4 linked regions of the Saccharomyces cerevisiae S288C genome follow. Changing the gene in region 2 together with the main gene of any one other region gives a genetic interaction. Each region holds a gene or a part of one and is shown on either strand. Other genes may lie near its edges. The genes, in order: BER1, PFY1, TWF1 and SCW10.

Region 1 (2,890 bases), on a different chromosome or scaffold from region 2:
GTATGTTGGAATAAAAATCAACTATCATCTACTAACTAGTATTTACGTTACTAGTATATTATCATATACGGTGTTAGAAGATGACGCAAATGATGAGAAATAGTCATCTAAATTAGTGGAAGCTGAAACGCAAGGATTGATAATGTAATAGGATCAATGAATATTAACATATAAAATGATGATAATAATATTTATAGAATTGTGTAGAATTGCAGATTCCCTTTTATGGATTCCTAAATCCTCGAGGAGAACTTCTAGTATATCTACATACCTAATATTATTGCCTTATTAAAAATGGAATCCCAACAATTACATCAAAATCCACATTCTCTTCACTTCTCCGATAGACTTGTAATTTATCTTATTTCATTTCCTAACACTTTGATCGAAGAAGAGGGATAACAACAGACGAAAACACATTTAAGGGCTATACAAAGATGAATATGGGAGGCAGTAGCAGCACTGCTGCCAAAAAAGCGACTTGTAAAATATCGATGTTATGGAATTGGTATACCATTGACACCTGCTTCATTGCCAGATCTTGGAGAAATGACACCAAAGGAAAATTTGCTGGTTCTTGCATCGGCTGTTTTGCGCTTGTGGTGGTAGCTCAATGGCTTACTCGTTTTTCAAGGCAATTTGACGTAGAGCTATTAAAAAGACAGAAAATAAAGCATTTAGCTAGTTACTCGCCAGAGGAGTACGTTGTCAAATGTGGAGAAGAGGATGCTAAATCTGATATAGAAGAACTACAAGGCTTTTACAACGAACCAAGCTGGAAAACAACTTTAATTTCCTTACAAAAAAGTTTCATTTATAGTTTTTACGTTTGGGGTCCAAGGAGATTGAACGAGCCAGAAGACGACCTGTTAAAGAAGGTCCTATCATGCTGTACATTAATAACGCCAGTGGATTTGTACCCAACTTTTTTGGATCACATGATAAGAGTTACTATTTTCGTATTACAGTGGGGGTTATCTTATATCATCATGCTGCTGTTCATGTACTATAACGGCTATATCATTATTAGTTGTTTAATAGGTGCTATCGTTGGTCGTTTCATATTTTGCTATGAACCTCTAGGCTCATTGGGTGCTAATGGATCAGCCCAGGGTACAGTGAGTTATGATAAAGAGAGTGATGATCGCAAATGCTGCTTGTAGAAAGACAAAAATGAATAGAGGAAAGCCGAGAGGTTTGTTTCAAAAATTGACGCCTTCCTCATTTTTTTCATAATTAGCTGGTAAAAGTTACTATTTGTAACGACTGCTAAATAACAAATAATTATTCGTGTAAAAATAAATAGCTAATACCACCAGGTGTTCATATTCCATGACTGCATATTTGGGAAACGAGACGGTTTGAACATCCTTAGTTGATGTAAAACTATAATAAAAGCTCTATGGGAAGTAAACTATCTGCGGGTCGGGTAAGGAATGATGCTTGCTCGACGTGTAGCGATGAAAAAAGTGAAAACTTATTTGAACTCTAGAAAACTGCTAAGATCCTGAACTGATACCGAAGTTAATGACCTTGACCGGTCTTCTGCTGTATGGATTTTAAAGCAAGTGGGACAAAGTTTAAGAAAACTGGCAAGAAGGTAGTGCCTGCTAAAGCGTTTGAAGAAATTGTTCAGACAAATAGAGATGTTCTGAAAAAATCAGCATTCCTCTCAGATTTACTTGAAAATTTACAACCGCACCTCAATAACATTAAGAAAATACGATGTGTTGCAATTGGAAATTTCAAGGAGGATTTTCCTGCGACGTACCAATTCGCTCTTCTCCTAGAGATTACTGATTATATAAAAAGTGAGGATGAAAGGGATGTCGTTGTTTCCCTGTATGATCCAATATTTACTAAAGAAGAGATACAGTACTTGAAAAGTTTAGGAAGCAAATGGCTGATAGAGGAAGAATTTTCAGAGAACGATGCAATTGATTATGAATCGGTATTATATTTCCTTCCCCATGCTCCTTTGGATTTAACTGAGAACATACTATCGTCACAGCGACCACACTTATGGCTGGCAAATAATATGATATCACACACCGATAGATACACCAAAGCAAAACTTTGTGAAAACTATCCTAATTTAAGCAAGCTAGTTCATTACTTGCAGACTAACGCTCCGCCAGAAGTTAAAAAAGCACATGATGTAGATGGTTTTGCAACATTCATTCCAAAGAGAAAAAGAAAAAACAGAAACAACTCCTCTAAACTCAAGGTCACACCATCTGATATAGACTATGATTCAATAGCACCGAAGTTTAAGTCCTGCCAAATACTCACCGATTTTGATGAAGGAAAGTATTTGAAGGAAAAACCCTGGATCAATTCCTTCTCTGACTTGACGTTACATGCTATAGAGTACTAACATATCATTCACTACATAGTACTTTATAACTAAACTGTAACCTTTCAGGGCATCGTAACCTGACGCTTTACCATCAATAACGACACGAGACCGCTTTATCTATGATACTGGAACAATCAACATGATTGTTATAAATGTACTCGACAGGATCATGAAAGGATACCAACTTAGTTGCCGGTTCATTGAAATGGAAAGCTCAAGAACGTATACTGAAAGAGAGCGACGTCTACTTTGCCCACAAAAATCTACTCTCTGAATTGAATAGTATTTAGAGATTGCATAATTCAAGCCCTCCTCGAGGAAAGGATATAAATGAAAATACCGTTTTTCCTGCTGATGGTTATCGTCCCTGTCAAGGATACTTCTCGGACTCGAACAACGTTACAGCTCAACTTAAAGAAGGCTAAATACGACAAGGGCGCTTGCCCTAAGAGGAACTGTTTCTAAGTTCTAACGAGTGCCTGCGAAGATCGGTTTTTTTTAACTTCGCGGGCGAATTGATAAATAAAGTTC
Region 2 (2,848 bases):
TTAAGTAGATAGGTTGCGTAAACTAGGTGCGTCCAATCAAAGTAATCCAATTAGATATACTGGACTATAATTAAGATGTCATCTGAAAGCCCACAGGATCAACCACAGAAGGAGCAAATCAGCAATAACGTCGGCGTTACCACCAATAGTACAAGCAATGAGGAAACAAGCCGCTCTCAAGATGATAATGTCAAGGAAGTCAATGGAAATGATGATACTAAAGAAGAGGAACAAGAAGAAGACGCAGAACTAGATGATTTATTTGGAGATGACAATGATGACGATGATGATGATGATGTTAAAAAATCGGAGACTGAAAAAAGTGATAGTGATAGTGATGAAGACGACGAGGGAGAGAATATCAACCATAGAAGTCGTCATAGAGAAAGTCTCGGGTTAGATGATGATGAAGCAGAGGAGCAAGCCATGTACACCCGAAAATTTTATGGTGAGGATGCTAATAACTTTTCTGATCAAGATGAGACTACTCACACTTTTAAAGAGGAAAATGTAGAGCTTGTCAGACATATTATTCCAAGTAAAGCTAATGTGAATGAAACGGCGTCTCACAACGAAATTTTCTATGCTAGAATTCCCAACTTTTTAACTATCGATCCAATTCCTTTCGACCCTCCAAGTTTTGAGGCCAAAGTAAACGAAAGGGCAAGCAATTCAGCTTCTAGGGAGGATCAACTGGACGACCGCCTGATTGATGAAAACACTGTTAGATGGAGATACTCTCGTGACAAAGACCAACATGTCTTTAAAGAATCAAATACACAAATAGTGCAGTGGTCAGACGGTACATATTCGCTAAAAGTTGGTGAAGAGTGTACAGATATATTGGTCAACGATACGAGCAACACTTTTTTGACAGTATCGCATGACCAACAAGAGTTGATCCAGTGTTACGAAGGGGGTGAAATAAAAAAGACGTTGATGTTTATTCCAACTTCGACGAATTCAAAAATACATCAAAAACTAAGTAAAGCTGTTATAAGAAGGAACCAAAGACAAAGCAAGGGTCCTGGAACATACATTGTAAGTATGGATCCTGAAGTGGAAAAGAAGGAGTTAGAGAGAAAGCAAAGCCAGATTTTAAGAGACAGAAGGAGAAGACAGCTCAAAGAAAAGGAGAAACAAGAATCCCCAGATGCCGCTTTTGAGACGGGATTTAGAAAGCAAAATTCACCCACTACCTATGGAGCCTCGAGAAGAAATGAATATGAAGAAGATGACTTTTTAGTCGACGACGATGAGGAAGAGGAGGCTGCGTTTGACGACGAAGAGGATGATAATGAGGAAGAAGAAGAAGAAGAGGACGCGGATGAAGAGAACGCCTCTCGTCTAAGAAATTTAAAAAGAGAAGGAGCAGCAATGTACAGAGAAGAGGAAGAAGAAGAAAAAGATAGGAGCGAGACAAAAAGAAGAAGGGTTGCGGTCATCGAGGACGACGAAGACGAGGATTAGAGGAGACGTTACTTTGTTTATATATATTAGTATGTACAATCGCAAAGAAATGGAGTGATGACATGTTGTAGTATTTAGTATGAGGTTACTGTGTGGGAGGTTTTACCATGATTTTTGGCGAGAACACGCCATGAAATGTCTTTGTACGAAACTCATTACCCGCATTAATATTTTTTTTCTTTTTAAAGCTCAGTTGACCCTTTCTCATTCCCTTCTTAAAACAACTGTGTGATCCTTGAGAAAAGATAAATTACATACACAACATAAACCCAACTACGATCGCAAATTATGTCTTGGCAAGGTATGTGAACGAGACAATTATCAATTGATTAAGAAAGAAATGAGTCGGAGGTTAGCTTGTGTGACAATGTTTGGCAATGCCCGATTTTTGTTGATGCGCGTAATTTCGAAGATTAACCACTCAGAGTAAATTACTAACTGGAATATCAAAAAACATATGAAATTTCAAACATGAATTTCTTTCCGTTTTTTTCTCCTACTTTTAAACAGCATACACTGATAACTTAATAGGAACCGGTAAAGTCGACAAAGCTGTCATCTACTCGAGAGCAGGTGACGCTGTTTGGGCTACTTCTGGTGGCCTATCTTTGCAACCAAACGAAATTGGTGAAATTGTTCAAGGCTTCGACAATCCAGCTGGTTTGCAAAGCAATGGTTTGCATATTCAAGGCCAAAAGTTCATGTTGTTGAGAGCTGACGATAGAAGTATCTACGGTAGACATGATGCTGAGGGTGTTGTTTGTGTAAGAACTAAGCAAACCGTTATTATTGCTCATTATCCACCAACCGTACAAGCCGGTGAGGCCACCAAGATTGTCGAGCAATTGGCTGACTACTTGATTGGTGTTCAATACTAATTTATGCAGGTAAAGTTTTCTTGCCTTATACACCACCTATTCTGGCATCTGCGGGATTTCGCTTCCTATTTTACAAATATTTTATTGATTGACGCTAATTATCACTGTAAAAGGCGCACTTTTTATATGTAGTCACATCCGGTATTTAACATATTTACGAAACAGTCTTAAGAATATCGACATTTGATATACTTATGTTTAATTTATCTACATATTACAATCATACGAGAAACACGCAAAAACAATTACTTGAATACTTCGAAAGGAGACCAATTTGGATGTACAACCCTTTTTTCGCCCTTTTCCTTCGATATGTTATTGATAGCTTCAAAGTCCTCAGTAGACAAAGTAAATATTTTCCTGTTCGTTTTGATTCGATCGGGATTCACAGATTTTGGCAAGACAACATAACCTCTTTGGACGTGCCAGCTAATAACAACGTGTCCGGGTTGAACGTTATTTTTCTTCGCAATTTCAAGGATAACCGGTTCCTTCAATAG
Region 3 (3,261 bases), on a different chromosome or scaffold from region 2:
CTTCCATTAGACGTAGGAAAAGAAAGCTAAGAGAAGAACTAAAACCAAGAATGCAAGATCTGCTCACTTCTTTGGAGCAAGAAAAGGATTTACGGGGCATTATTGAAAATAGTAGCAAAGACATGAATAACGATGATGACATCGACATGGATTCTAAAATAAGGTTTGTGGACACAAAGGAAATGAACTTGAAAAAGATAGAACCTGGTTCTGTTAGGATAAAAAAGAATCAGCCAAATATCAGGAACCAAAAGGGTGCAAAGGCATTGGCTGCTAACGAAACTGCAAGATTCAATCAGGTCCTAACCAATCAAGATTTCCAAAAAAATCCATTTGGCGCCTTAAGAGAGGTTATCAAGCTGCAAAAACAATGAACATTAAATAGCATAGCATAACAATTTTTGCCAGTGTAATATATATTCCAGCAAACCTAGAAAAACATTCAGTTTCATATTTAGAAGAATAAAAACGTATGTATTGTTGGTCACACATATATAGATGCCATTTCTATCTCTATGTTCTTCTTTTCCTCAATGGGCCCTTTGGTTTGTTGAATTTCAAATTGCTTTTGTTTGGGAGATCTGGATTGGATCCATGATCGAGGCTATCTTCTTTATTTGTTGCCATAAGTAAGGACTTGTCTAGTTCCACAAAATCGCCAATTTCTACCACTTTACTAAATGCGATTTTTTGATCATTTTTCAAGTAGTTGATAAATCCATTCTTGTTAGAAGCATATATCATTCTATCTTTGACTTTGCTGCCAGAGGGACAAGAGTAGATAAAGAAACTTGAATCACCCTGCCTGAAAATCGTGTAACTTGGCCCGGGCAAGTCAATGTACAGTTCATCTACGGAGGGACATGTATCAGATTGCACGATCTGGATGGTTTCGTTCGAGGGATCGATTTGAAATATGATTAAATTTTTACCCTCGCTATCCAGTATTTCATTGATAGGTTTCTCAGAATTGACCCTGAAAGTTAACGATAAAGGCGAAGCACTGTCCTGAGAAACCAACTTGACGGATGTGTTTTTCCTTAAAAGTGCCTGTTGCTTATTGATTTCGATTTGCATTTCTTCATCATGTGTCAAGGGCTTATTCTGGCCAGCAGGACGGGCACTATCAAAATTTTTCAAATCCACCAAGTCCTGTGCATCTGTGATCAATGGCTGTTCGGTGGATAAAGAGTTTGAACCTACCTGTCTTGCCAGAGTGTTCTTCGTCGAGGCATAAAGCATTCTTGATCTTACCGGAGAACCATCGGGGATGAATGACACAAAGAAGTACTTATCAAGCCCTTCCGGCTTATAGAAGATGTACAACGGTTCTCTTTCTTGTGATGCCAACTGTACCAGCTCCTCGAAGCTACGTGCGACTTGCGTTTGATGTACCGAGGTAGAATCAGGGGAAATTTTGGCTATAATGATGACGATGCCATCTGCTGAAAGATTTTCATTCAGAGAATGCAGCAAGGCTTGTTCTGCGACTATACCGGATTGAGTAGACATGTGATGTGTTGAGATACAGAGTTCCTTCTTATTCAATTGCCTATCAAATTAGCCAACTTGTCCAAATAGTAAAAGATATAGATCTTATAATGACATATTTTTCAAATCCTACAAAAACAAGTTACCCTAACACTGTATAAAAAGAATCTATTTATTGTACTGTTAATAGTACTGTTATTACAACATGAATTCACCGATACCAAAACCAGCTGATAACGTCTGGCAAACACCACTCTTTCTTCTTATGGCCCTCTTCAACAGCTTATCTCTTTTAGACAAGGGTTTCCACTTTTTAGAAATTGCAGAGGATGAGCGCAGGGAATTCTTCAAAAACTTCCTTTTTTTCAAGGTGAACTTGCCCTCATTGTCTCTGTAGCACAATAACTTGATATTGTAGTCCAAATTATCAAGAAGGGAGGAAGATGGTGATGAAGATGGGGAGGGTTCCATGGCTTCAGCACTGTTGATATCATCTTTGATGAAGTCCTCTATTCCCAATGTGTCGTTCGAACTCGTGGTGGCGTCGCCTGGATGCAGAGCCACGAGGGAGCATTTTCTTTGTCTTGTCTCCTGCAGGCAAATGGCCTCTTCTGCAGTGCCATTTACTTCCTTCCAGAAGTCCGTATTATTTGCGTCACTCTTGCTATTGTCGCCGAAAAAGAATGATTGCTGTATCTGTGGTAGAAAGATACTGCTCTCGCTGCTATCGTGGAAATTATTCTTGTTGTGATTTTCCTCCATGGGTAGTTCATTGTCCGCACTGTAACTAAATGTGCTGTTGGTGAAGGAAGGCTGGTGGCATGGGGAGAAGAGAGGATCAGGCTCAGAACTATAGCCGAGCGTACTTTCGAGGTCGTCATCATCGTCATCATCGTGTAAATCTCCGTTTTGGGTGCCATCGTCCTCGGTGGCGTTCTCAGATAGTGAACCGGCAGTATCTATCGAACGAGCAGTGGTGATGATGATTGGGGTGGCCTCGACTGCACTGGCTGTGGTGTTTTTACCATCTGCTGTCCCGCGAGTGTCCGCTTTCTTTGTGTGCGATCTGGACAAGGGAGTAATATCCTCCTTGGTGATGACCTTATTCGGTACCTGAAATGCCTTGCTGCTTTTATTCATTGCTACGTAAACTATGCTATATGATACAAGTGAACGCTCGTCGAGGGAATAACTGCTGCGTGTGCGTGAACGAGTAAATGAATGAATGAATGAGTTAACACATGAAAACGAAGATAATCGCAAAACGACAATGAACAAATAAACACATCCCTCATTTGCGGCACTGCTCATCTCATCTCATCCTTTATATTAGGAGGCAACGAGCTTTCTCGCTCACCAAAAAGAAACGTGCGAAAAAAACCGAAAAATAAAAAAAAAAAAAAAAAAAAAAAAGAAACGCGCTGCAGGAACGTGACTTCCAAAAAAGGAAGGTGCCGTTCCAATATGGAAACCGCAGGCACTCATGATTGTGCAGGACGGGTAACACATGATTTGTTTCGTTTCTTCGATCATTTTGCAGAACTGGTCAGAAAAGAAAGTGAAAAAATCTAGTTTAACACTATTGTAGAGGCTATAAATTGTAGACAACATTTACTGCAGAAAACTGTACGCACATATATAACAGATACTACGGTTATTATGGACACACTGTTCAACTCCACGGAAAAGAATGCCAGAGGCATACCGCAGGCTCCATTCATCGAAAATGTCAACGAAATAATTAAGGACCCAAGCGACTTCGAATTGTGC
Region 4 (3,214 bases), on a different chromosome or scaffold from region 2:
AAGGCATTCTGGGGCGAATCTGACTTGATTGGCTTCACCCCAGCAAAGCAAATAAAGGGCCAGCTGTCTTATCATATTTTCGGGCGTCAATTTTTTCATTTTCAATTTCCATTTGTAGTCTGCACTTTTCAAGTTTGTCTGATCTTCCAATTGTTCTTGAGTCAGTGTGATCTTTGGATGGTTATTGATGAACTCTTGCTCCTTCTCATTCCATTGCTTAATTTGTTCCTTTATCGATACGCCTCTTTTCTTCGCCATTTTTACGTTTCTTTGGCGTGCCTTTCCATGTAGTCGCATGTTTTGAAACCCGATCTCTTCATCTAAATCGAGCTGAGCGGCAAAATACCATTTTCTATAATTTGCGTGTTCGCCTCCAATATATGAAACATGTAGCGATACTAAAGCATTTTGAGCACCTGTACGACTTGCCCTGGAGTCCAGCTGTCCCATTAAATGTTGATACATATTTTCCATAGAAGATTTCTGGAAGCCAAACTTATCCATGAGCTCCACAAAAATTTCTCTAATTTCCTGCATTGTTATTGGGACTTCATCGTCTTGGCACCAAGCAGGATACTCAACGTCAGTTAGCGAAAACTTGGGACTCATAAAATCCATATTCAACTCCTTAACTTTCCTTCTCAGTATGTTTTTCTTTTCCCAATATGCAGTTCCACAGCCCTTAATGATTAAGTTGTATAGTGGCAAATCCTAGAAGGCATAATTACTTTTGAAGGTTCTCGCCAAATAGCCGCTGACCATGTAAAACTCTTACCCGCATAATTTAACCATCATTGCCGCACTAGGCAAGATGGTCCGATCTTGATGGGCGAGAATGATTAGTTCAGAGACGTGCAACAGCCATATACGAAAGCTGTCTCGGCCTTCACTTATGCTGATACCAGGCACGGTAATAATTAAGAAAGAATGCCTCCCTCTTTCTTTTTCTCAGGCAAGACATCTAGATTTTCTTTTTATCTAAGCCCTCAATGACAAAAATATTTGTTCCTTACATATCCCCAGAGATCTTCGGTCTAGATTTCGCGAAAGACCGTTTGCAGTAATTTACCTTTTTCGGAAAAGTCCTCGAAGATTTCGGACGAAGTAAAACCTGAAGAGAAAAATGCCAAGACTTTTAATTGCGCGAAACAGCGGACAAAAAATTCGCGTTGAAACGTTTGAATATGGTAACAAACGTCGCACGCGTTTGAAAGTTATTCGTGTTTTCATGTGTACAGTAACTTCTCCATCGAGAGCCGTATCCATAAGCCTTCTTTTCCACGTTTGTTTCAAAACTGTAGTATTTATAATGGAGGGAAAGATGTCTGCGTGAAGTTTGTCTTACAGTGTATCTTTGAAGCGTGCATCATATTTTTCCCATTTTAAATTCATCTATTATATAGGCCCAAATAAAAGAGTTAAATACTATACTTTTGCAATATTGAGCTGAACATCCAACTGTCACGTCTCTCCTTTACTATTACTGTTCTTTTTTTCAAATTGTCAAAAGATAGTATTAACGCAAAAAAAGTCTTCATTCCATTATGCGTTTTTCAAATTTCCTAACTGTATCTGCATTATTAACCGGAGCTCTAGGAGCTCCTGCTGTTCGCCATAAACATGAAAAGCGTGACGTTGTTACTGCCACAGTCCATGCGCAGGTTACTGTTGTCGTTTCCGGTAACAGCGGCGAAACTATTGTTCCAGTGAACGAGAATGCTGTTGTAGCTACTACCAGCAGTACTGCAGTTGCTTCTCAAGCAACTACATCCACTTTAGAACCAACAACTTCCGCTAATGTCGTCACTTCTCAACAACAAACCAGCACTCTTCAATCTTCCGAGGCAGCATCTACGGTTGGTTCTTCGACTTCATCCTCACCCTCATCCTCATCCTCAACTTCATCTTCAGCTTCATCCTCCGCTTCATCTAGTATCTCAGCCTCCGGTGCTAAGGGTATTACTTACAGTCCTTACAATGATGATGGGTCCTGTAAATCTACTGCTCAAGTCGCCTCAGATTTAGAACAGTTGACTGGTTTTGACAACATCAGATTATATGGCGTTGACTGTAGTCAGGTTGAGAATGTCTTGCAAGCTAAAACTTCAAGCCAGAAATTATTCTTAGGCATATATTACGTTGACAAAATTCAAGACGCCGTTGATACTATTAAATCTGCAGTTGAGTCTTATGGCTCCTGGGATGATATTACCACTGTTTCTGTCGGTAACGAACTGGTCAATGGCGGTTCTGCCACTACGACGCAAGTCGGTGAATACGTTTCCACGGCCAAGTCAGCTTTAACCTCTGCTGGTTATACAGGCTCAGTCGTTTCCGTTGATACCTTCATTGCTGTTATAAATAACCCTGACCTGTGTAATTATTCTGACTATATGGCTGTCAACGCCCATGCATACTTCGATGAAAATACTGCGGCCCAAGATGCAGGACCATGGGTACTAGAACAAATCGAAAGGGTTTACACTGCTTGTGGTGGGAAAAAGGACGTCGTTATTACCGAAACTGGTTGGCCATCTAAGGGTGATACTTACGGCGAAGCTGTCCCATCTAAAGCAAACCAAGAAGCCGCCATTTCTTCTATCAAAAGCTCCTGCGGCTCTTCAGCTTACTTATTTACCGCCTTCAATGATCTATGGAAAGATGATGGGCAATACGGTGTTGAAAAATACTGGGGTATTCTATCAAGTGATTAAACCACTGAAACTTCATTTACTTTATGATCATTCTTTTTCCCTTTTTCTTAAAAAGCAGCCAAATATGGGGGAAATAAGCCCTTTCCCATATTTGCTCTCCTATTCTTATCACGTTATTGTTTACTTATGTGTTTTGTGTAAAGTATATATTCTATACTCATTTGTGAAAGATTTTTCAATTTGTCTTCCTTTTAGCTACGGGTCCTCGCTGCTCTATAGTTTGTGTTCTAACTTATATATATATATATATGCGGCATTACCTAAAAGCAAAATAAAACTGTAGAGCATTGCCTGTGTGGAAGTGATGGCGGCTGAGAGATTATCATAAAAAAACATAAAAAAAATGGAGAAAACATCAAAGCTAAACATAGTCGTAAGACGTATCAGTTTTTAATGATCATTGGTCTATCATAGGAAGAATGCGATCTCAATCTATCCGGATGATCCATGTAGATATAATCTAAGTTGGACATAATGTCATACAATATAACTTTGTCCAA

What was found.
Region 1: mutations in PFY1 (region 2) and BER1 impair growth when combined (synthetic growth defect), as found in Saccharomyces cerevisiae (2 studies listed by BioGRID, with this or other methods).
Region 3: mutations in PFY1 (region 2) and TWF1 impair growth when combined (synthetic growth defect), as found in Saccharomyces cerevisiae (2 studies listed by BioGRID, with this or other methods).
Region 4: mutations in PFY1 (region 2) and SCW10 together harm fitness more than expected from each alone (negative genetic interaction), as found in Saccharomyces cerevisiae (2 studies listed by BioGRID).

The regions. Positions count from the first base shown.
Region 1 is NC_001144.5:946,816-949,705, forward strand, and holds BER1 (Ber1p), read left to right. Parts: upstream 1-1,552; coding exon 1,553-2,377; downstream 2,378-2,890. Other genes in the region: high-affinity Cu transporter CTR3, read left to right, coding at 438-1,163.
Region 2 is NC_001147.6:551,798-554,645, reverse strand, and holds PFY1 (profilin), read left to right. Parts: upstream 1-1,758; coding exon 1,759-1,771; intron 1,772-1,980; coding exon 1,981-2,348; downstream 2,349-2,848. Other genes in the region: Paf1-complex subunit LEO1, read left to right, coding at 76-1,470; glycerol 2-dehydrogenase (NADP(+)) GCY1, read right to left, coding at 2,594-2,848. UniProt on the Saccharomyces cerevisiae protein: Binds to actin and affects the structure of the cytoskeleton. At high concentrations, profilin prevents the polymerization of actin, whereas it enhances it at low concentrations. By binding to PIP2, it inhibits the formation of IP3 and DG.
Region 3 is NC_001139.9:640,261-643,521, reverse strand, and holds TWF1 (twinfilin TWF1), read right to left. Parts: upstream 1,513-3,261; coding exon 514-1,512; downstream 1-513. Other genes in the region: SLX9 (Slx9p), read left to right, coding at 1-374; YGR079W (uncharacterized protein), read right to left, coding at 1,690-2,802; tubulin-binding prefolding complex subunit PAC10, read left to right, coding at 3,151-3,261. UniProt on the Saccharomyces cerevisiae protein: Actin-binding protein involved in motile and morphological processes. Inhibits actin polymerization, likely by sequestering G-actin.
Region 4 is NC_001145.3:878,563-881,776, reverse strand, and holds SCW10 (putative family 17 glucosidase), read left to right. Parts: upstream 1-1,544; coding exon 1,545-2,714; downstream 2,715-3,214. Other genes in the region: FKS3 (putative 1,3-beta-D-glucan synthase), read right to left, coding at 1-618; ubiquitin-specific protease UBP15, read right to left, coding at 3,098-3,214. UniProt on the Saccharomyces cerevisiae protein: Glucanases possibly play a role in cell expansion during growth, in cell-cell fusion during mating, and in spore release during sporulation.